4 linked regions of the Saccharomyces cerevisiae S288C genome follow. Changing the gene in region 2 together with the main gene of any one other region gives a genetic interaction. Each region holds a gene or a part of one and is shown on either strand. Other genes may lie near its edges. The genes, in order: GGA2, INP53, SER2 and ENT3.

The links.
Region 1: mutations in INP53 (region 2) and GGA2 together harm fitness more than expected from each alone (negative genetic interaction), as found in Saccharomyces cerevisiae (4 studies listed by BioGRID, with this or other methods).
Region 3: mutations in INP53 (region 2) and SER2 together harm fitness more than expected from each alone (negative genetic interaction), as found in Saccharomyces cerevisiae (3 studies listed by BioGRID).
Region 4: mutations in INP53 (region 2) and ENT3 together harm fitness more than expected from each alone (negative genetic interaction), as found in Saccharomyces cerevisiae (3 studies listed by BioGRID).

What each region holds. Positions count from the first base shown.
Region 1 is NC_001140.6:325,635-331,266, forward strand, and holds GGA2 (phosphatidylinositol 4-phosphate-binding protein), read left to right. Parts: upstream 1-2,668; coding exon 2,669-4,426; downstream 4,427-5,632. Other genes in the region: thioredoxin-disulfide reductase TRR2, read left to right, coding at 1-992; septin CDC12, read right to left, coding at 1,179-2,402; CTM1 (cytochrome c lysine N-methyltransferase), read left to right, coding at 4,676-5,632. UniProt on the Saccharomyces cerevisiae protein: May play a role in the regulation of membrane traffic through the trans-Golgi network.
Region 2 is NC_001147.6:521,801-529,101, reverse strand, and holds INP53 (phosphatidylinositol-3-/phosphoinositide 5-phosphatase INP53), read right to left. Parts: upstream 3,825-7,301; coding exon 501-3,824; downstream 1-500. Other genes in the region: transcription factor TFIIIC subunit TFC7, read right to left, coding at 1-161; 2-isopropylmalate synthase LEU9, read right to left, coding at 4,261-6,075; GTPase-activating protein RGS2, read right to left, coding at 6,820-7,301. UniProt on the Saccharomyces cerevisiae protein: Dephosphorylates a number of phosphatidylinositols (PIs) like phosphatidylinositol 4,5-bisphosphate (PtdIns(4,5)P2), but also phosphatidylinositol 3-phosphate (PtdIns(3)P), phosphatidylinositol 4-phosphate (PtdIns(4)P), and phosphatidylinositol 3,5-bisphosphate (PtdIns(3,5)P2).
Region 3 is NC_001139.9:909,090-913,953, reverse strand, and holds SER2 (phosphoserine phosphatase), read right to left. Parts: upstream 2,072-4,864; coding exon 1,142-2,071; downstream 1-1,141. Other genes in the region: YGR210C (uncharacterized protein), read left to right, coding at 1-451; thioredoxin TRX2, read left to right, coding at 727-1,041; CIR1 (Cir1p), read left to right, coding at 2,326-3,111; ubiquitin-binding ESCRT-I subunit protein MVB12, read right to left, coding at 3,217-3,522; TDA10 (putative ATP-dependent kinase), read right to left, coding at 3,869-4,741; YGR204C-A (uncharacterized protein), read left to right, coding at 4,780-4,864.
Region 4 is NC_001142.9:653,362-658,202, forward strand, and holds ENT3 (Ent3p), read right to left. Parts: upstream 2,603-4,841; coding exon 1,376-2,602; downstream 1-1,375. Other genes in the region: YJR124C (uncharacterized protein), read right to left, coding at 1-877; VPS70 (putative zinc metalloprotease), read right to left, coding at 2,893-4,841. UniProt on the Saccharomyces cerevisiae protein: Involved in the recruitment of clathrin to the Golgi network and endosomes to form clathrin coated vesicles. Plays a role in the trafficking of clathrin between the Golgi network and endosomes.

The sequences.
Region 1 (5,632 bases), on a different chromosome or scaffold from region 2:
TTGTTGGCATCAGCAAGTCCGTGCTGTCAAGGATGATTCATCACAAGGTTACAATCATAGGTTCTGGCCCCGCTGCCCACACCGCTGCTATATACTTGGCAAGAGCAGAGATGAAGCCCACATTATATGAGGGAATGATGGCCAACGGAATTGCTGCTGGTGGCCAATTGACAACAACCACCGATATCGAAAATTTCCCAGGGTTTCCTGAATCGTTGAGTGGCAGTGAACTGATGGAGAGGATGAGGAAACAATCTGCCAAGTTTGGCACTAACATAATTACCGAGACTGTCTCTAAAGTCGATTTATCTTCAAAACCATTCAGATTATGGACCGAATTTAATGAGGATGCAGAGCCTGTGACCACTGATGCTATAATCTTGGCCACGGGTGCTTCCGCTAAGAGAATGCATTTACCAGGGGAGGAAACCTACTGGCAGCAGGGAATATCTGCCTGTGCTGTATGTGATGGTGCAGTCCCTATCTTTAGAAACAAGCCATTGGCCGTTATTGGTGGTGGTGACTCTGCGTGTGAGGAAGCGGAATTTCTTACGAAGTATGCGTCGAAAGTATATATATTAGTAAGAAAGGATCATTTTCGTGCATCTGTAATAATGCAGAGACGAATTGAGAAAAATCCAAACATCATTGTTTTGTTCAACACAGTTGCATTAGAAGCTAAGGGTGATGGTAAGTTATTGAATATGTTGAGAATTAAGAATACTAAAAGTAATGTGGAGAACGATTTAGAAGTAAATGGACTATTTTACGCAATAGGTCACAGCCCTGCCACAGATATAGTTAAAGGACAAGTAGATGAAGAAGAGACGGGGTATATAAAAACTGTGCCTGGATCGTCTCTGACTTCTGTGCCAGGTTTTTTTGCTGCAGGTGACGTTCAGGACTCTAGGTATAGACAAGCAGTTACTTCTGCTGGTTCCGGATGCATTGCTGCTTTGGATGCAGAACGGTACCTAAGTGCCCAAGAGTAACGTGAAAAAACCGGTTTATTTTTGTTTTTACTGTTCGATTGTGTTACGTATTCTATGTTTTTTGAGATATATTTGAAATATTTTTATAAGATACATATATATATGTGCGTATTGCTGCGACAAAAGAAGAGACAAAGAGATAGGCGTTGAAATTGACGAGACAAAGAGGAAGACATTAATTAATCATCATTTTAAATGGGATTTTTTTACTTGCAAGCTTTTGACCTGCTCTTCTAGTTTTTTTACCTTTCCTTGAATTTCTTCCAAGTCACCGTTCAGTCTGATTCTTTCGTTAACAATGTTTTGCTCCCATTGTCTAAATCTTTGCTCCTCAGCTTTGACTTGGTCAGTGAAATACTTCTTCAATGCATTTTCTTCTTCTTTGTATCTAGGATTGTGTGACAATTTCCTTGCTGGTGCAATTGCTGGAAGAGTGAAATCTTCATTCCCCTCCCCGGTGTTCTCGTGACCCTCAAGTCTTAATCTTCTGTATGTTTCGTAATGCATTTCTTGGGTGGTAGAAATCAAATCTAATAGATAAGTCCTCAGTAACAGGGCTCTGAGCTTACGGAAATCACAATGAGAATCGTTTTCGATTTCCACAAGTCCCCAAGGATACTTCCTTGCAACTACCTGAGTGCCTTGCCCATTGTCAAATTTTTTTTCAGACCCTACTATGGCAAATGGCATTGCTTCTATCAACTGTCTTGCATGTTCAACAGCGGCAGAATCTGGATTACTGCCACTTTTGGCATCTTCCTTAGAATCAGCGTCTAATGGAGGCGTGAAAATACGAATTTCTTGAGCTTCTATTACTTGCCTGATTCTGGACTTGAACTGTTGTAATTCTTGGGCAGTCAATGTATCAGCTTTCGCAATAACTGGAATCAGATTGGCTCTGGTTGACAATCTCTTCATAGTCTCAATGTCAATTGGCTTTAAACCATGTCCAGTGGGCCTGATGAAGTACAGAACGGCATGAACTCTCAAGTCAAATTTCTTAGTACGGTACGGTTGCTGCTCTTGACGCATATAAGAATCGTGTTGATCATCAATAAAATCCACCAATGGTTGCCAGGCTTTGTTGTTATTCACGTTATCTCCAAAACCTGGGGTGTCGATGACATTAACGCGTAATTCGAAATGCTTCTCTTCCAGCAAAGCTCTTGTGATGTCGATTTCTACAGTCTTTCTGATGGGTTCTTGGCGGTGTTGCTGACCATCTGCCCTTTTCAAGACAGTCTGAAATAAGGTATTAATAAATGTAGTTTTACCCAATCCGCTCTCACCACATAACATCACGGTGAATGTACCACCTTCTTCATTAACAATTTTATAACGCTGGTTGGGAAGATTGGATATCCCTACAGGAGGAGGAACAGGGGCAGCAGTCGCAGTGGCAGCACTCATTATTTGATACAATATGTGATGTAGTTCGTTATCAATACTCTTCAGGTCAAGATCCTATATCTTGCTGCACCTTTCAAGACTTTGATCTACTCAAAACAAACAATGGTGATTTCGAAAAAAATTTCGGATTCTTCACTTTTCCAGCGCCCTGTTTTTTTTCTGTAATCACGATTGCAAAAAAAAGAGACTTACCATAGGACAATTTCCATAAACAAAACAAAGAGCAACATAACTCATAGCTGAATTGCTAATCGTGATACTGCATCATGTCCCATCCGCACTCACATAGCATATATTTGTCTGAGTTGCCCGTCAGGAAACCTCAAGCCTTGGGCAATCCTCTTTTGAGGAAGATTCAAAGAGCTTGCAGAATGTCACTTGCTGAACCAGACTTGGCGTTGAATCTTGACATTGCTGACTACATTAATGAAAAACAGGGCGCTGCCCCTAGGGATGCTGCCATTGCACTTGCTAAACTGATCAACAATAGAGAATCGCACGTGGCAATATTCGCGTTATCTCTATTAGACGTGCTTGTCAAGAATTGTGGATACCCATTCCACTTGCAAATTTCTAGAAAGGAATTTTTGAATGAACTGGTCAAGAGATTTCCAGGTCACCCACCATTACGTTATTCTAAGATTCAGAGATTGATTTTAACTGCTATTGAAGAATGGTATCAAACAATTTGTAAACACTCAAGCTACAAGAATGATATGGGTTATATTAGAGACATGCACCGTTTGTTGAAATATAAGGGTTATGCATTCCCCAAAATCAGTGAATCCGACCTAGCAGTTTTGAAGCCTAGTAATCAATTGAAGACCGCTAGTGAAATTCAAAAGGAGCAGGAAATTGCTCAAGCTGCAAAACTCGAAGAATTGATCAGGCGTGGTAAACCTGAAGATTTGAGGGAAGCTAACAAATTAATGAAAATCATGGCAGGGTTCAAAGAAGACAATGCCGTTCAAGCTAAACAGGCTATTTCCAGTGAATTGAACAAATTGAAGCGTAAAGCCGATTTGCTGAATGAAATGCTGGAATCACCTGACTCACAAAACTGGGATAACGAAACTACACAAGAACTTCACAGTGCATTAAAGGTAGCTCAACCAAAATTTCAAAAGATCATTGAGGAAGAACAGGAAGACGATGCGTTAGTGCAGGATCTATTGAAGTTTAATGATACAGTTAATCAACTATTGGAAAAATTCAACTTATTGAAAAACGGTGACTCCAACGCTGCTTCGCAGATACATCCAAGTCATGTTTCTGCTCCGTTACAACAATCTTCTGGTGCTTTAACGAATGAAATCAACTTAATCGATTTCAATGATTTGGACGAAGCGCCCTCTCAAGGCAACAACAATACCAACGGCACGGGTACACCAGCAGCAGCGGAAACATCTGTCAATGACTTATTGGGCGATTTGACCGATTTATCTATTTCGAACCCTTCAACCGCTAACCAAGCATCCTTTGGTCTGGGAGGCGATATCGTGTTGGGGTCCTCTCAACCCGCACCACCAGTTACTACTACTAACAACTCGAACAACACTTTAGATCTTTTGGGACTTTCAACTCCTCAATCGCCAACTAATTCCCAAGCAGTAAACAGTAGTGGGTTCGATCTTTTGATGGGATTTAATCCAACAACAGGTACTACTACTGCGCCCGCAAGAACCCTAGTCAATCAGTCTCCTAACTTGAAGATTGAGTTCGAAATATCTAGGGAGTCAAACTCAGTTATAAGGATAAAATCGTTCTTTACAAACTTAAGTTCGTCACCGATCTCCAACTTAGTGTTCTTATTAGCAGTCCCTAAGTCAATGTCTTTGAAATTGCAACCCCAATCGAGTAACTTTATGATTGGCAACGCTAAAGATGGTATCTCTCAAGAAGGTACAATTGAAAATGCGCCAGCTAACCCTTCAAAGGCTTTGAAAGTCAAGTGGAAGGTCAACTATTCTGTCAACTCCACCCAAGCTGAAGAAACTGCTGTTTTTACGTTACCTAATGTATAATCCTCTGGCGTTTCTTATCAATCCTTTCTCTTCTCTATGTATATTTTTAGAAGGATAATACCTCTATGTAGACAATCTTATAAAGATCTTCGCAACAATACATATTTCACTTACTAATATATGTTGCGTTTTCATGCATCAAAAGTAGTTAGCAATGCTAGATCGTGTAAAGGAAAAAAAAGAGAAATAGTATAATTCGCCATCCTCATAACCACTGAAAAATCGAAGTTAACCAAAAGGAAAGTTGAAATGGAGGAAGTGTTCCGTTTTTACTCGAACTCTAGAAATATCTTCATTCATAAAAGCCTTTCATTAAAACCATCCACCATTGATGACCCCAAAAGTGGATATGGCCTTTTCGTAGAACCTTCGAAGTTCAAGAATGATGAATTGAAAAGTGAAACTATCCAATTGCTCCGAATCCCTAAGCGCTGCACGTTTAATATAAACACACTTCTGGCTCTCTTGGGAGATGAGGACGAATTTTCTTCAAAGGAAGAATTTCAAAGAACTAATGACAAAATTAAGATTGCTCTTCGTGAAATAATGGCTCATCCGAATTTCAGTGTGTTCCTGACAGAAACAAATTTACTCATAATTTATTTCATGATATTTCAAACTATTCGTAGTCGTTATGAGATTCCCGAAAATATCCAATATTATTTAGAAAATGTTTTAATGAGCATTGAAGTAGAAACAGCCATGGATTCTATTGAAAACTTAGCTACTGATTATGGACATTATCCACAGATTTTTGGCCTTCGAGAGACGCTAAATTTATTTAAAGAACTGTTTCACGACGTCTTGAATTTAAGTGATATCAAACATCTTTATTCTGCAATAATTTCACGTTGTTTAGAGATACCAGAAAGGGCCGATACCAAAAGTGAAGAATTCACGGTCCATTCTACTTTAGTCCCTATTGTAGATTTTGCCAACCATGAAGGCACCCAAAAAAATGCTTATTTTGACATCGACCCTTCAAATAATGACGTTTTACTTCTATTGGATACAAAAGCGGTCCAAAGTGAACTCACAAAACCTATTGAAGTTTTCATTAGTTACTCACCAACAGAGGATTTATTTTCCATGCTTGTAACATATGGATTCACCCCAGATTTTAGAGGGAATTCCCAATTTTGGACTGTATCCTTTGACAGGTGCTTTTTAAGAAACTATGATGGACCAGATAAAACTACAAATTTA
Region 2 (7,301 bases):
AAGGACAAAAGGTAATGGGCCAACTCTTTGGCTTGCTGGACTCCGTGTTCTGCTAAAGGAACATCGCTATCAATTCCTGTAAGTGGGTCAGGATATGGACCCTCCGGAAGCCAGTTGGATCTGTATCCATGCCTTGCGATATATATCGTGTTCACCACCATAAAATGTATTGAAAAGGAGTAATATGTTATTGAGGTAGAAAAATGAAGGTAATTAGGGGAAAGCCTACTGAGGATTTATGGATAGTAGAGATTCTCTTCCACCTTGCCCATAAGTATTCACCAATATTTAACGTATATATATTAATGTGTCCTATTTTTCAGCTTTAAACCCGGCGCGCCTTATTAACGCACTCCTTTTCTCTCACTGAATATTTATATAAATATTTATCTAAATAAAATCACATAAAACAACCTGGCCAGGTTAGCCCCCTTGTTTCTCTTCGTTCATTTAAAGGGATACAAACGGAACAACAACCACACTTCAAAGATAACATATTCTCATTTTGGGGTCAATGGCTGCCATGAGTCTAAAGTCATATGGTTTAGTTTGGCCTTTTCCTCTGGCTCAATTGGATTTTCATCACCTAGCAAAGCTTCGGGCTGCCCATTGACGTCTCTTGATGCTGCAAATGCTGTAGGTGTCTGTTGTCTTGCATCTTGGGCTGAACGTGTAGATTCACTCGCGCTATTATATAAATCAACCTTAGAAGACATAGGCGAAGCCAAGTTACTGGTACTTTTTGGAGTTAATATATTTTGACTAAAACCTGGTGGTGGAATTCGTCTATTTTGCGCCAATGGTTTATTTTCCTGTATATTTTTAGTCACAGATGACAACGATGCAGTTGAGGTCTGTGGTGTTGGTGATTTTTCCTTCGATGTTGAAGGAGCAGGTGCTGATACAGATTTATGAGCAGGTGGGGGTGGGGGGCGCAATACCGGTTTCTTTATGGGGGTACGCGACTGGCTACTGTTTTGAGTTCTGACAGGTTGTAGTGAAGCCGATGCTGAAGACACAGGTGACGAAGAAGCAACGCTGGACGCTGTCGGTTGTGCCATTATCGGATCAATATCAAGTAGAGAACTTTCAGAAGAGCTTTTGAATCCATCAGTGCTCTTATTATCCAGATCAAGGCTGAGAAGATCCGATATCAGAGAACCCGGTTCTTCGGGATGCTCTTGTTTGTATTCTGTGAATAAACGTTTCTTGAGAGATAGTCTCTCTTTATCATCAACAAAAGTTATTTTTGCTCTATATGCTGCGTAAACTGGCCGATGGTCGCTAATCATTATCGGAGCATCTGAATAAGATAAAGGAAGTAAGTTTTCCCCTTTATAAATAATTCTATCTGTCCATGACGGCGTCCTTTCCTTTTCAGAAGAATCATAAGTTCCTGTCCCGGGATCATACTTGTATGTTGGACGGAACTTGAGAGTTGGTTCTTTGAAGCCTTCAAATACACTGCCAGAATTAATACCTAGGGTAAGTTGATCAAAATGCAACAGTTTATCGATATATCCTTCTTCTTGGTTGAGCAACTCTCTTCTGACGTCTTCGTTCGGTAGATTTATTCTATAATTCATGTCACCTAACCAGAAAATCGAATCGTGATGAGGAATCATCTTAGTTCTAGTGAAAGTAATACCTCTAACTATGCTCTCGTAATCACTTCGACGTTCTTCGACATTCGTAGCTCCTGCTGCGAGATGAGAATTGACAAAACAAAATGAAGTGGCACCGTACTCAAATCTTATAGACACTGCACCTTTATTCCCAGCCATACCCCTAAAGCCAGTTTTTTTAGTAGCACCCTCCACTTGTTTGACGTATTTAGCTTTGTCTGCTTTAACAAAAAATAAAATTAGTAAAGAAGTCATTTGCTCTACTCTTAACAACAGATATTTATCATCATACTGGTTTAAGCAATCACCCACTAAGTTTTCCCAGAAAGAGCTTTTCGAGTAATCAGCGTTCAAAATCGAACCCGCAGATAGTTCTATAACTTCTTGAAGACCTAAAACAACAATATCGGGTTTAAATTTTTCACCGATTGGAAATAACCACTTTGATAAATCAACTTTTTTGGTTGCGCCATTAACATTGAATGATCCTATTAACAAGTTAATGTTGGAGGTTGATGTGAACTTATCAGACATGCTTTGTAATTTCGTACTTACGTATTCGTTTACGGGATCATAAAGTTGCACTGCTTTCTGATACGGTAACCTTCCCAACAAAGTATCGATATTTTGTTGCTTTTCTTTATCCATGAAATTGTTAATATATATTCTGCTGACCGATTTTGTGGCGTCTGATAATGCCCCAGCAAGTGACATTTTACCTTTTCTTGAAAATGAGGACTTCAAAGCATTAGTACCAGTATATATTTGGGAAATTTGATCACCGTGATCAGCCCACAGGGTGTTATGTTTAGAAACGAAATCATCATCGTCGATGAACGAATTTGAACTAATCAATCGGAAATCTTCGAGAAAAGTTCTAAAAGCAGCCAAAGAAATAATTTGCTGAGCTAAATTTGTTCTATCCAAACAATCTAAACAGTTGGTCCTAAATATGCCATGTTGTTCAGATATGTTCTTTTTTTCTCTAACATCGTAAGAATAATAGCCAGAAGATAAAAGAGAGTCCAATATTAATGGAATGAGTTTTCTGACACCGGAAAAGCCTTCTTGCGAAGTTTCTTTATGAAAATCGAATTCTGTCAAAAATATATCTTTGTTGAAGTTCAATTTTTTTGAATGAGTTAAATGCTCCTTGTATCGTTTTGAAAGTTCAATTTCAGAAGATTTCGTTGATAACAAATTAACGACATGCACAGGTCCGTACTTTTCCACTGATTTCATGATATGTTTGTCAAATACCGGTTGGGTGGCTTCAAATGATCTTGTAATTTGTACTCTTGGATTGATTAAAGAGGTACCTTGCTCCCAGAATACAGGTATACTGCCTCTAATCTGTGTAAAAGCATAACAGTATTGGCTAGAATACATAATGAATTCCGTTTCTACGAAATTGGCAACGTTTGCCTCATCATCCACACCACGTGCATTAAATCTTGTTCCTGCTCTTTTCCAGCTCTGTTTCGAGATGATAGTAAGAGCAACTTTCAACTTCTTAACGTACGAGACGAAAGTTTCCGCAAATCCACGGATAACTGTTGTTAAAAACCCCTCGTCATCCAAGATTTGTTTCAAATTTGTGTCCAAATGATCTCTGTATGTGATCATTTCTTGCATGAGAAAAGAGTTCCACATATATTCTTCTTCGTAGGTATCTGTACTCAAAGAATGCTGACCATATCCACGATGCTGTAAGGTTGAGGTCAAATCAAAATCTGAACTATAATAAAAAGATCCATTGGATAATAGTTTCTTCAATTCATAGCATGGATGTTTTGGCAAGGCGTCTTGATATTCAGTTGAAGCAGTCTCCGGCAACACAGGATAACCTGAGGAGTCGATTTCAATAAAATCCCAACTGTTGTCATTTAAACAAAAAAAATCGACAGCAAAAATTTTGTTCACAGTCTCTCCTGGGCATGGCTGTGCAACTTTTGATTTCCCAGTGATGGCACCAACAAACAGCAGGCCATTAACCTCAATGAGTCCGATAACACCAAAAATTTCGTGTGATGTAAGTCTTTTGAAGCCATATTTTTTCAAATCATTTTTTTGAAGAAGTTCAATGGCACAAAGGGGTTTATCAGATGGCTTTTTCCCAACCGGTTTAAGAACAAGAGCATACAAGTTGGATACAATGGCTAGCCTCCTTTCAGGTTCTTCTGAAACAAAGATAATCATTCTATGAAGGAGTGGATAACTAGATATTCTTCGCCCCAGTTATTTTCTTTCTTCCTCTTAAGGTACTGCTAGCTTTCTTAATATGATATTGGATATTGACTGTTCTCCCTTCACAAAGTCTCAAATTACACTACTCCTAGCTCACTCAACAGTTGCAGTAGTGCTCGAAAAATCCCTATTCGGATTCAGTTAAGATTATGCGGTGGGTGGGCCTGGGTAAAATGTTTCACGAAAGGAAATGGTACCATGGGAAAAAAAGCAAAAAAAAATAATAAAACTATAAACGAAAGAAACTTTCCACACAGACATCGAAGAAGTGTTTGGAAACTTCGCTGAAAGATGTCTTTTTAACGTGAAATAAGTTACTTTTCTGTGCCATTTATAAATAAAAATACATATATATATAACATGAGTAATCATAAGCTACTCCTTTCTATTACTCTGCCAGTAGAACATCCCCGGAATGAATAATATTATTGACAGTAGCAAATACCGCCTTAATAGATGCATCCCCAGTGTCTTCGGAGACACCAACACCCCACATATTACTAGTAGCATGATTATTGATGTCCTTTATGTAGGAAAGATTTATGAAAGATGCCGCTTGGGTTGCAGAACCAGAACCCAAGGAATGTTCAGAGTAGTTTTGAACGCTCAACTTAACATTCAGTAAATTGGATAGCGCATCCACCAAAGAAGAGATAGGACCATTTCCGTAGCCTTCGATGTTGACAACCTTATCGTTGATTTCTACCTGGCCCACTAAAGCTCTACGCTCTGGGTTCAATTTCTTAACTTCGTAATTCAACAAGGTGACGTATATATGTTCATTGTTGTTGTAGTTGTAAGTTTCTTTGAACAATTTTGTAATCTCTTCGGATTTTAACTCTCTTCCTAAGGCATCTGCATTTTTCTGTAGAGTATTGGAGAAATCAACTTGCATTGGTCTTGGTACATCTAATCCTAGAGATCTCATAATAACCCAAGCAGCACCACCCTTACCGGATTGAGAGTTGACTCTGATGACGGCTTCGTAATCACGTCCAATATCCTTTGGATCCAATGGTAAGTATGGAATTCTCCACCGAGTTTCTCCTTGAGCCTGTTTCTTGTTTTGGATTGCAAATCCCTTCTTAATTGCATCCTGATGAGAACCAGAAAAGGCAGAAACAACCAATTCACCGCCATATGGGGCTCTTGGGGGAATTGGAATCTTGTTACAGCGATGGACAATTTCAGAAATTGAAGTTAAATCTGAGAAATCTAAATTAGGAGAAACACCTTGGGTATACATATTCATGGCAACTGTAACCAAATCAACATTACCTGTACGTTCACCATTACCAAATAGACAACCTTCTACACGATCAGCGCCTGCAAGCATACCTAATTCTGTGGCGGCGACACCGCAACCACGGTCATTGTGACAATGCGTAGAAATACAGACCTTCTCACGCTCAGTAATGTGGGTAGAGAAGTACTCAATTTGATCAGCGTAAACATTTGGAGAGGCAACTTCTACAGTAGCTGGTAAGTTGAAAATGATCGGATTTTCCTCGGTAGGTTCCCAAGCCTTTTTAACAGCTTCACAAATTTCTACAGCAAATTCACCTGGCGTATCACTGAAACATTCGGGAGAAAACTCATAGGACCAACGAGTAGCTTGCTGGGAAGGGTCATCCTTGGTTAGTTTCCTAACCAGTTTGGTGGCTTCTACAGCTTTAGAAATAGCTTCCTCTCTAGACATATTGAAGACAATTTCTCGGAACATGTCACTTGTGGCCAAGTAAGTATGTATGGTAGCCCTTTTAGCACCAGTCAATGCTTCCACGGTTCTTTTAATCAAGTGTTCTCTAGATTGGACAAGACATTGAATACCAACATCATCTGGAGCGTTTTCTACAGCATACCTGGTGAAGTCGAAATCTGTTTGAGATGCAGAGGGGAAAGACACTTCGATTTCTTTGAAACCGATGTTGATCAACTTGTGGAAATATTCTTTCTTTTGAGCCACAGACATTGGGTCCGGTAAAGATTGATTACCGTCCCTCAAGTCAGTAGACAGCCAACGTGGAGCCTTTTGAATAGTTTTGTCAGGCCAAATCCTCTTGACCATTTTTGGTGGAGCAAACGCCCTATATTTTACCGATGGGTCCCGTAGCATATTTTTATAAGTCAGTTTGACGGGTGGGATAGACCTTCTTAGTTTACTAGCATGCTCAGCTAGCGCTATGAACGAATGTTTTACCATGGCTACGCGGCTAAATGATAATGTGCCGATAGTATTATCCTAAGGAGAAGACCCTTATAAGCCGAAAACAAGGATTGTGATTTCGTGGAGTAAAGTAAGGCATTATTGAAATTTAACAGCTAACTTCCAATCAAGCCAGTAAGAGGCAAAACTATGTTGTAGTTGTGATTCTGGACATCGTTTTTAATTTTTTTTTTTTTTTTTTTTTTTTTTTTCATTTTTTGGCAAGGCCGAAAGAGATGGAAAAATATGAGTCATTCACTACGACCGTTACCGGACCATGATGGCGCGCGGCACCAAAATAGACGAATGAAGTATATAACAAGCGCCATGCAGAAGGAAGAGCTAACATTAATTACTATACAGATAAATGTTTAGTGTTTGAATATGACAACATATAAAAGAAGACTGTGCCCAATGCTCTTATTTTAAATGCCTGTGAAATAATTATATGCAGTGTCATGTACGTAAAATTAAATAAAAACTAAAGTTACAAACAATATGAGCGTGATGAAATGAAGTAAATTGTGTGAAATGAATTAATATGAAACGAGGGAACTAGCCAGAAAAGCGGATTTTCTATCGTTGTTCTACTTAATCAAAGTTCTAATCTTGATTAACTGATATCATGCAAATTTAGCTTTTTAAAGCCGTTTTCAACGCTTTTTTCATTTTTACCGATCGCTTTATTGGGTAATGGCGATGAGGATGAAGATATTTGTGTCTCCACAGATGATGAAGAGGCTATCTTTGTTGATGACTGTTTTGTCCTTTCAAACGGTTTTGAACATTGCTGTTATAATGGCTACAAATGACGCCTGAAGGCTGTTTGAAAGATTTCCGTTTTTTAACAAAGTTAAGTTTTTGCAATAAACCTTTCCCCGAGTTGAGAATTCCTGTATTTTGCGGTTTTTGCAGATTTCTAGTGCTGGTATTCTTGTAGGTCGAGCTGGTAGTGTTGAGTGAGGAAGAGGACTCGCTTGGCCGAGAAGTGCGATCGCTGCATTGCGACTCATTGGTCGTGTTTGCAGACGTTTCTTGAATGATAGTTGACAAACCATTGATATCAGGCTTCTTAAGATACGAATTTCTATCTTCAGAAATATCCTCCACGCCTAATGACGAAAAAGAAGTTGTAGACTCGTTTTTGAGATCTTGTTCCGTAGCAGAGTCATTGTGGGCATATGTGGCGGAGTACTTTTTCTCATTAACAGAACTCACAAATC
Region 3 (4,864 bases), on a different chromosome or scaffold from region 2:
GAGGAAATTGAAAAAGCAAGGTTTTATATTATACGAGGAGGGCACGGAATTTGTTGACACATTTGAGGACGAGCCAGACAAACTAAAGCCACTGGACGACAAGATCCTTAACAGAATTGAAAATATCAGAGATTTGGTCCTGTATAGATTCGGATCTACGGGTGTTGTTCAGGTTCTGCAAGCAGCAACGGACATCCTTGGTCTAATACCGGTGTACACTGTGAAGAACATCCAGACTTTTACGGGTGGCAACGGAACCAACGTATTTAGAGATTGTTTTTTGGTCAAGCGAGGAACCCCTGTTGGCAAAGTTGCCAGGTATATCATGGGTGGCGAGGTCACCATTGCAAGCATTGAAACCGTTGGCGGCGTGAGAGTCAGTGAAGAAAGTCTTGTTGAGCCCGGTAAGAATGACATACTCGGCTTCAAGATCGCTCCAAGATCAGCATAACTTGAGTGCCAGTGAATATTAAGTAATCATCAAAGTATATGTGTAATTGTTTATACTCTTAGTAAAGGATGCTCCCTACAAGGTGGCTCTTTTCTTACTAAGCGCGTTCAGTTTCCAGCCAGCCGAAAGAGGGATATCAGTATATAAGAAAGCCATTCGGGGGATGAAAAGCTGACAAGAGAATAACGAGGACCAGTTTTTATTTGTTGTCTAGCAAGAATTATACACGCACACATACACGAGAGTCTACGATATCTTTAAATAACACATCAATAATGGTCACTCAATTAAAATCCGCTTCTGAATACGACAGTGCTTTAGCATCTGGCGACAAGTTAGTCGTTGTTGACTTTTTTGCCACATGGTGTGGGCCATGTAAAATGATTGCACCAATGATTGAAAAGTTTGCAGAACAATATTCTGACGCTGCTTTTTACAAGTTGGATGTTGATGAAGTCTCAGATGTTGCTCAAAAAGCTGAAGTTTCTTCCATGCCTACCCTAATCTTCTACAAGGGCGGTAAGGAGGTTACCAGAGTCGTCGGTGCCAACCCAGCTGCTATCAAGCAAGCTATTGCTTCCAACGTATAGTTGCCGGTATATTAACGCTACGTAAAGTACATCATGTTTACCAGTTTAAATAAACAATTTTAAAAAGAAACTCTATTACATCTATCTATCATTATTTTCTTCATTGTCTATTGTATATTTCATCATCGGTGTAACCAAGAATGTATAAAATGTCAGTCATGCTCTTGGTATTCAACTTACAAGGTGCAGCTTTCTGCACCTTTGGCTTGGCGTTCCATGCGATCCCAAACCCGGCGGTAGCCATGGCTGGCAGGTCGTTACCACCGTCACCCACCATACAACTTGCTTCAACTGGAACATTGTAGTCATTACATAGTTGCAGAAGGGTTTCACTCTTGCACTGTCCGTCTACGATAGGACCCAGTGTTTTACCGGTTAATTTTCCATCAGTGTCAACTTCCAACAAGTTTGCCTTACAAAAATCTAAACCTAACTGATCCTTGATAAAACCGGCAAACTGAATAAAACCACCGCTTAAAACAGCGAGCTTGCAATTTTTTTTGTGAAGGAACTTGCATAGTTCTGGCACACCCTTGGTGACCTCTAGCTTTTGTTTTATTTCATCATATAGTGTATCGACTTGGAGGCCTTGCAATAATTTAACGCGTTCTCTTAAAGACTCTTTGAAATCAAGTTCATTGTTCATGGCTCTTTCTGTGATCTCGTGCACTTGTTCTTCAACACCAGCATAAGCGGCAATCAATTCGATGACCTCTTGGTAGATTAATGTTGAATCCATGTCAAAGACAAAGAGCTTTTTGGCTTGACGATATTCATTGTCGACAGAAACAATAACATCAACATCATTATGACTGTCAATGACGTTCGTCAGCTTATTCTTGAGGTCTTTTTGAACAATCGATCCTGCGACTTCAATGAATATATCGGTAGCTCTGGCCGATAGTTTCTTGGTACCATTGATTGATACATCTTTCGCCGAGCTTTCAGTAATTTCTTTCGCAATCTGGTCGATGGTTTCTTTTGGGAGATTTTCTCCATGAGCTATGCAGGTGATAACAAACTTTGACATTTTTTACAGCTGTCGTGCTTAATGTCTATGCTATTGGACTTGCTTGGATATGTCTATTTGTTTTTTTTTTACATAGTTTCATAGTTTCTATTTTTTATTTATCATTTTTTTTTATTTTTCACTTGAAGATCTTTCGAGATTATTAGTATTGACTCTTTCTTTCTCGGTGTAAAATAATCCTGATTCGAGAAACGTTGTCAAGACACACTAGGATCAATAACCCCGATAATCAAGTATCAGAAAGAGTAATAAAAATGTCTGCAAAACAGCAACTACGTATATTAGTTCCGGTGAAAAGGGTAGTTGATTTCCAGATCAAGCCTAGAGTAAATAAGACCTTAACTGGGATTGAAACCAGTGGAATCAAATTCAGTATCAACCCTTTCGATGATATTGCTGTCGAAGAAGCCATCAGAATTAAAGAAAAGAACAAGAGTTTAGTAGAATCTACGCATGCAGTTTCTATTGGCTCCGCCAAAGCTCAGGATATTCTAAGAAATTGCCTTGCTAAGGGAATAGACACCTGTAGTTTAATTGACTCTGTGGGTAAAGAAAACATAGAGCCCTTAGCAATTGCTAAAATCTTAAAAGCTGTTGTTGAAAAGAAGGGTTCTAATCTGGTTTTGATGGGAAAGCAAGCCATTGATGATGACTGTAACAACACCGGTCAGATGTTGGCAGGTTTATTAAATTGGCCACAGGCAACAAATGCGGCAAAGGTGGAATTCCTTGATAATGGTAGAGTTCAGGTAACAAGAGAAATTGACGATGGAGAAGAAGTAATTGAAGCTTCCTTACCAATGGTTATTACTACAGATTTGAGATTGAACACTCCGCGTTACGTAGGACTGCCCAAACTAATGAAGGCGAAGAAAAAGCCTATTGAAAAATTGGATATAGCAAAAGATTTTCCTGAAATTAATATTGAACCTCAGTTAAAGATAGTGTCGATGGAAGAGCCAAAGACTAAGTCACCTGGTGTGAAATTGAATTCTGTGGATGAATTGATTGAAAAGTTAAAAGAAGTTAAGGCCATTTAAATGCAACAAAGGTCAAATGACATAAAATGAAAACTGATAATATTACTAAGGTTTATAAAAAAAAATTGCTGTATATGTGTACATAGATATCGAAATGCAATTTAACTAGGAATTATCCTTTCTTGATGGAGATAATAGTGTGTTTCCAACAATTCCCGGTGGTTTTTTACTCAGATATTGCTCCTTGTACCACTGATCGAATTTCTTATTAGAAGAATCATGTAACTGACAGACTTTGGTGATATTGTCACATTCTTCGTACCAAGGGCATAATAAGTCCCTTGTTGGTTGTAGCGCTGGTAACTTAAATTCAGGCATCTGAAACCTAGTCACTGTTTCTTGTGGAAAATCCTTACCATATTTGTTGTAGAGGGGAATACGCCGTAGGAGTTCTTCAACATTATTGTTCATTTTTTTATGCGATAAGCTCCCATTGCTATTTTCCTTTCCTTTTTAATCTTAATTAATAGCAGTAATTTTTCCAAAACCGCTTAAATCTCGGACAGCCTCTGAACGGTATTTGTATAAGAAGGACAATAAAAGCTCTATAAAAGTTTTATGATGGATATGTAACAGATAAACAATTTTTTTTGCATACGACAATTATTCAAGAGTTGCCTTGTCAAAATTCTGAACCAAAAATACATGAAATCATTATAAAATTATCTGTTAGTACATAAAATAGAAGGGAAAAGTGAGATAAATTAAAAAAAAAAAAAAAAAAAAAAAAGGCGTAAAAAAAAAGGTCATAACATCACTATTCAATACATCTCGTTTTCGTAGAATATACATTCCTGTTGGAGTCGATTCCTAACGTCAATGTAGCAATGGAACCTAAACTTTCACTCCGGACAAAGTCGTTCAAATAAAGTTTATAGGAGGGCATGTATCTATCCACAAAAGCATGCACTTGTTCGTCGGTCATCCCCTTTCCGACCTTTGATATTAGTTCATGCTCCTGTTGTAGTCTCCAGCCATAAACATTGTTAATGTTATCGGTGGTGAATACTATCCCTAAAGATTTGATTTCTGGGTTGCGCCACAACAAGTCGCTATAGAAGAAGAGCTTGGCATTGACATCAACCATGTCCCCAGTAAGAAGATCATTATTCTCAATTCCTTGCAAAATGGGGTTGAACCCGAGGAACCAACCTTCTAAGATAAAAATATCGACTGGTAGCTTGATTTTTTGACCAGTGGGGCAACGGTCCCCTTCTCCTTTAAATTGGGATTTATCGTACTTGGGTAGTACGACAGTATCTTGATCCGGATGTTCATTATTATTGAAGATGGTGTTCAATACCTCTTGCAACAATTTCATATCATGAGTACCTGGTAAACCACGTCCTTGTAACAGCTTATTGTTCTTGAATTGCTCATTGAGTTTCAATTGGTCCTCGTGAGTTAAATAAAAATCATCAATTGAGGCGTAACCGATAGATTTTTCACCCCCATATTTTTCCATCAAATGGTTATAGATTTGGATACTTGTAAAACTTTTGCCTGAGCCTTGTGGGCCCGAGAAGAAAATGAACAAGGGGCATTTATTTCCCGTCTCAAACCATTCAGGTATATATTTATCCAAGAATTCTATCGTGTAGTCCAATACCGTTTTTGACTTATCACACATTTCTAGCTTTACTACTTTTTATATTATTCACTTCAGAGATGCAATGGAACGCTTTTTCCTTTGTGTCTTATGTATATCTTCGTTATTTTATTTCGTTCCGCCCAAATATTGTGCTAGCCAGTG
Region 4 (4,841 bases), on a different chromosome or scaffold from region 2:
GAGATCCCATCAAAAATTGCTTACTATAGTAGTAAACCATCCAGCCACTTGTCATAAACCCGGACCCGAGAGAGTCGACCATGAAGATTACTAACAATTTCATCAAAACCGAAACGGTCTCCTTAGATAGTTTGTTGGATCTTTCTTCTGGGTGAGTTGCTTGTCTCATTAATGGTGCAGTTTCATCGTTAACGTCCAATGGTTCAGCTGTTTCTTCATTGCAATCTGTATGTTCATAATGCCCGTCCAATTCTGTAGCATCTGATAATAAGAGCATGATGACCATTTTGCAAAAGGCGAAGAAGGCATACAGTAAGAAAACTAATTTATAACATTGCAAATCAGTAGCAGCTAAACCAGTTCTTTTCAAAAGATCTACAAATATACCACAAATTATTGCACCTAGAGCGCTTCCAATTGTTCCAACCAAGGCGTGAATAGCATAAATCTCTGGTCTTGCATTATGAGGACTCAGATGTGCAATCATGGCCTCTTCTATAGATTTGAAAGGCCCGACTTCATCACTTGAAGGCGATATAACACCGAAGATAGCAAATACTAGCAAGAGGGTGAAATTTTCGCTAAAACTGAAAACCAACCCACTTAACAACATCATTGCACAACCATAAACTAGGACTCTTCTTCGGCCCCAGGAATCCGCATACCAAGTAAGAATGTAAGAGCAAATTACATCCCCTGCCAGTGTTAATGACATAAACAGCCCAATTTTATCCTCTGTCATATTGATGGCATTTAAAAAAAGCGTCAAAACTTGATTTGTTAAACCATATGATAGAAGTCTAAGAAAGACGGACGCCCATAGTAGCTTTATGTCTCTACTTGCACACTTGAATTTAACAAAAATTTCCGGTGCCATGGTTACGTTAACTTTAGAAATATTGGTAAATCCTTCTGCAATGAGCTTTTTCGAGATGTGAAAAATTAGTAGAGTTTTCTTTCGTGCCTTTTTTTTCGGTGCGTCAACTTTAATATATAGTTATAATTGCTCTATAATGCTAGGCAAAAATAAACGAGAAGGAAGGTGAGTTTTAGTTCATTGACTAAAAATGAGCAAAAAAAGTCAGGAGTTTTTGTTTTGAAGGGCACTTCAACTCTCGAACTATGGATTTACAGTTTCTTCCTCGTCTTTTTAAGTAAAGTATTTTCAAATGACCAAAATGTAAATAAATTTGAAAAGGGCCCTTCTTTACGAAAAAAAGATCAAAAAAATGTTCACAAACTATTTCACGAAATCAAGACAAACATATAAAGGAGAAATACAGTGGAGATTAGATAGTAATGTTCGTAATACCTGTTACAAAGTACTTTCTATTGTTATAAAACATTTACATATTGTGTAAACCAATAATATCACTCAAAAGGAAAGTAAATCGATTTCTTTGGATGATGTATGGTTATTATTGGTATTCTGTTCTTGTTGAACAGCTCCACCATGCATTTCACCAAATTCGTCATCATCATCTTGATCTGTACTTAGTGCAGTTGTGCTATTAGATACAGGATTAGAGGCAGCGGCTTTCGCTTGGGATGCTTTAGGAGCACTAGGTGCTTCTGCAGATGCCTTTGCAGTTGAAAAGAGAGAGCTAAAAGGATCTACTTTTTTAGGTTCCGCAATAGCTGGGGTAATCTTGCCTTGGTCGGTAGTGGAGCTGTTATAAAAAGGCATTGAACTCGTGGTGGCGGGCATACCCTCAATTGGGCTCGTGTTTAGCAAGTTAAACGAATTAGCAGGGTTGGTAACAGGGACGGCGCTTTGAAATTCTGAAAACTCGTCATCATCGTCCTCTTCTTCGTCCGCCTTCTTTTCATCTTCTTGTATGAGTTCTTTAGATGGTTTTGAAGACTCACTAGAAAAAAAGTCAACAAAGTCCTCTGGTTCTTGTTTTCCTTGCCCAGGAGTAGATGTGGCTCTCGAGGCATTATCGTTATATCCATTTTGACTAAAAGAACCATCTTCGTTATCTTCATTGTCACTATCGAAATCAGCACTCACGCTAATGCCGTGCACTTTCGTTGACGTGAAACCTGCCTTCGAATTCAAACTGCCATCAGCAGAGGCAGATCCTCCAGCAACGCCCTTGTACTTCTTTGCCGTTTCTCTTGCCTTTTTTCTTTCTGCGCGTATCTTATTATCGTCGCTCAATAATTCAATCAAAGCTTTGACCCTAGTTCTGACATTAATTCCTTGATCTCTTCCCTGGGAATCAATATAGTGAAAAGTTTCTAAAATCCTAATTAAGTTAATGCTATTCCTTGTATCATCGATAAACCTTTCAGAACCGTGTTTGATAAGGTAATCGAGCAATTGCAAGGCTTTATAAATTTGCCTCCACTCACTACCTGCCTTTTCAGTGAACCTTCTGAATATCATGGACAAAATTTCTTCTCTTTCCCTGAAATTGTAAGTTCCTTGAGAAATCTGGTCCATTAAAGTGGATGAGGCACCCCAAGGCTCGTTGTTTGTCGCTTCACGAACTTTCCCCTCCATCTCAGTATAATTGAAAACAACATTTTGAGCTTTACGAAAATATTTCTTGGCGTCATATAATGACATGTTGGCTAATGTATCCTCTAAACTCATTCTTCCTAACACTAATTAACGATGTGATCTCCTATCGACGTCCCTACACCTTCCTGAATTGGTAATTTTTGCTTTCCTCAAATAACTGTATCTACAAATCATTTCATGATTCTTCTAGTCCCCTTTTACTTTTCCTAATCACCTCGCACAACGTACGGTGTGACATGTATAAGAAATTGAAGCCATGTTTATAGAGTATATACAAAAAAGCCTCTCATGGTTATTATTCAAAGTCACTCTACGTATGCAAATAAAATAAATGTATATACTGAGGTGAGGTACTTAAATGCTTATTGAAGTAAATAGCGAACGTTGCTGAATTGGCTTAGCAAAATGGTTAACCACTGAATGACCTCGTTTCTATCAATATCAGCCAATCCTTCGTGAAGGCCGGGCAAAACTTCCCCGACAGATCCCTCAAACTTACTAGGTGCTAAAAGAGAGTACTTCATCCATTCCCTGTCTTTCAGTCCTCTGTGTGTAATAAATAATTGATCAATTTGCTTTGATTTGCTATTGGATCGTTGCAGTTTAATATAGCTCTTGATTTTTTTGTAAAAAGCCCAAACAGGTAAAGCTTCCCTACACTCTTTATAGAGAATACCATTTTGTTGGTCAAATTGGATGCTATCTTCCTGTGTGGCAACTTTTAATAAGTCCAGAACCCTTTTTGCTAAGCTGTTCACTTCATCGTCCTGGGGAAATGCTGAAGATAGATTAGAGTGCCATGCGATATACCAGTTATATATTTTCTTCAGGTAAACATGTGTATTGAATCTTGCCAGTTCGTTTTCACTCAGCATCAGCGTTGTCAAACCTACAAACATGGCCATGGTGTTGTGTAACTTGTAGTCAGAATTGGTAAATTTTTCCAACCAAGTTGGGCTATCGAATACGGAGTTACTATGATAGACTGCGCCTGAAGTATCATTGGCATTAAACTGAAAATGTGCAGCGGGCACTCCAAGATGGTACTGAAATGAAGTGTAACTAGACAACCCATCAAGTAGAGAAATAGTGGCATTAGAAGTGTATTTCCAATGGTCGAACAATGACCAGTCTTCGTGCCCATTAAATTCCGTGAGCTTAGCAGCTTCGTATATCACGTCTTGTAAAAGTGGGTTGGCTTTACAGTGAAAATTTGTCCCAGAGATTGCATTATCTAGATTTAGGTATACCAAGGCCCTTCTCCTGAGAATCGCAGCATGAGCTTCTGCATAATCTGTAGATCCCAGAAGGCCGGATCGTTCACCATCCCAACTTATTAGTTTGATAGGACGCAGTGGCTTCCAACCATGCTTAAGTAATTTACTCATTCCTCGTGCAATTTCTAAAAGAATAGCGCTGCCACTATTTGCATCACCGGCGCTACTCGAGGCGAGCGAATCCCTATGAGCTCCGATAATAATCTCCCCCTCAGTGAATATACCAGGGATACTAACCTCTACACTACTCATTTCCTTGATGTTGTAAGTTAGCTCATTATGCAAATGGACTTTATCGATAGAGCTTGAAGGTCCAGTGAATGATCCAAAATCTTTTATATTACTACCGGGCCCAATTTGAAAACCCCTGCCATTCAATCTTTCTAAAATTGGTTGGACATCTCTAGCACTCATCGGCACCGATGGTATCCTCGGCACTCTCCCTACCGGTGACATATGTTCAGTGTCGGAATCCTTGGAGGGATACCCTGGAGTTGTCGGATCTCCTGGAGTGTCACTGAAATAGTTTACAGAATCTCTCCTAATATAACTTGGGTTTCTTGCTGGTCCATAAGGATAGTGTAAAAACCCATTTTCCTCAGTAACTTTACCATCGTCAAATGGGTCTGTATATATAATGACACTGGAAGCGCCATAAAGTTCTGCATTCTTTACCTTTAATCCAGGTAATATTTTACCCGATCGTACGATGTGGATTTTATCTTCAATATCAATGTTTTTCTTCAAAAGTAGCTTGTAATCACTGATGCTACCATAATTGCAAAACACGTATCGAGCAGTTACACTTCCATTTTTTGAATATTGATGGAAACCCTTTTGCCTTTTCCTAGCGTGAGAAGCAGGATCACCTTTAACTCTATCCTCGATCATGCTTGCTTCGTAGACCACTTTACCATTTTCTAAAGGAGCTACGTTAGTGTCTACTGGTTCACCTATCCATGGGTAATATTTTTCAACTTTGGGTTTGTACCCCATATCTAGAAACTCGTCCAAGGTATATTTAAACGTTGACG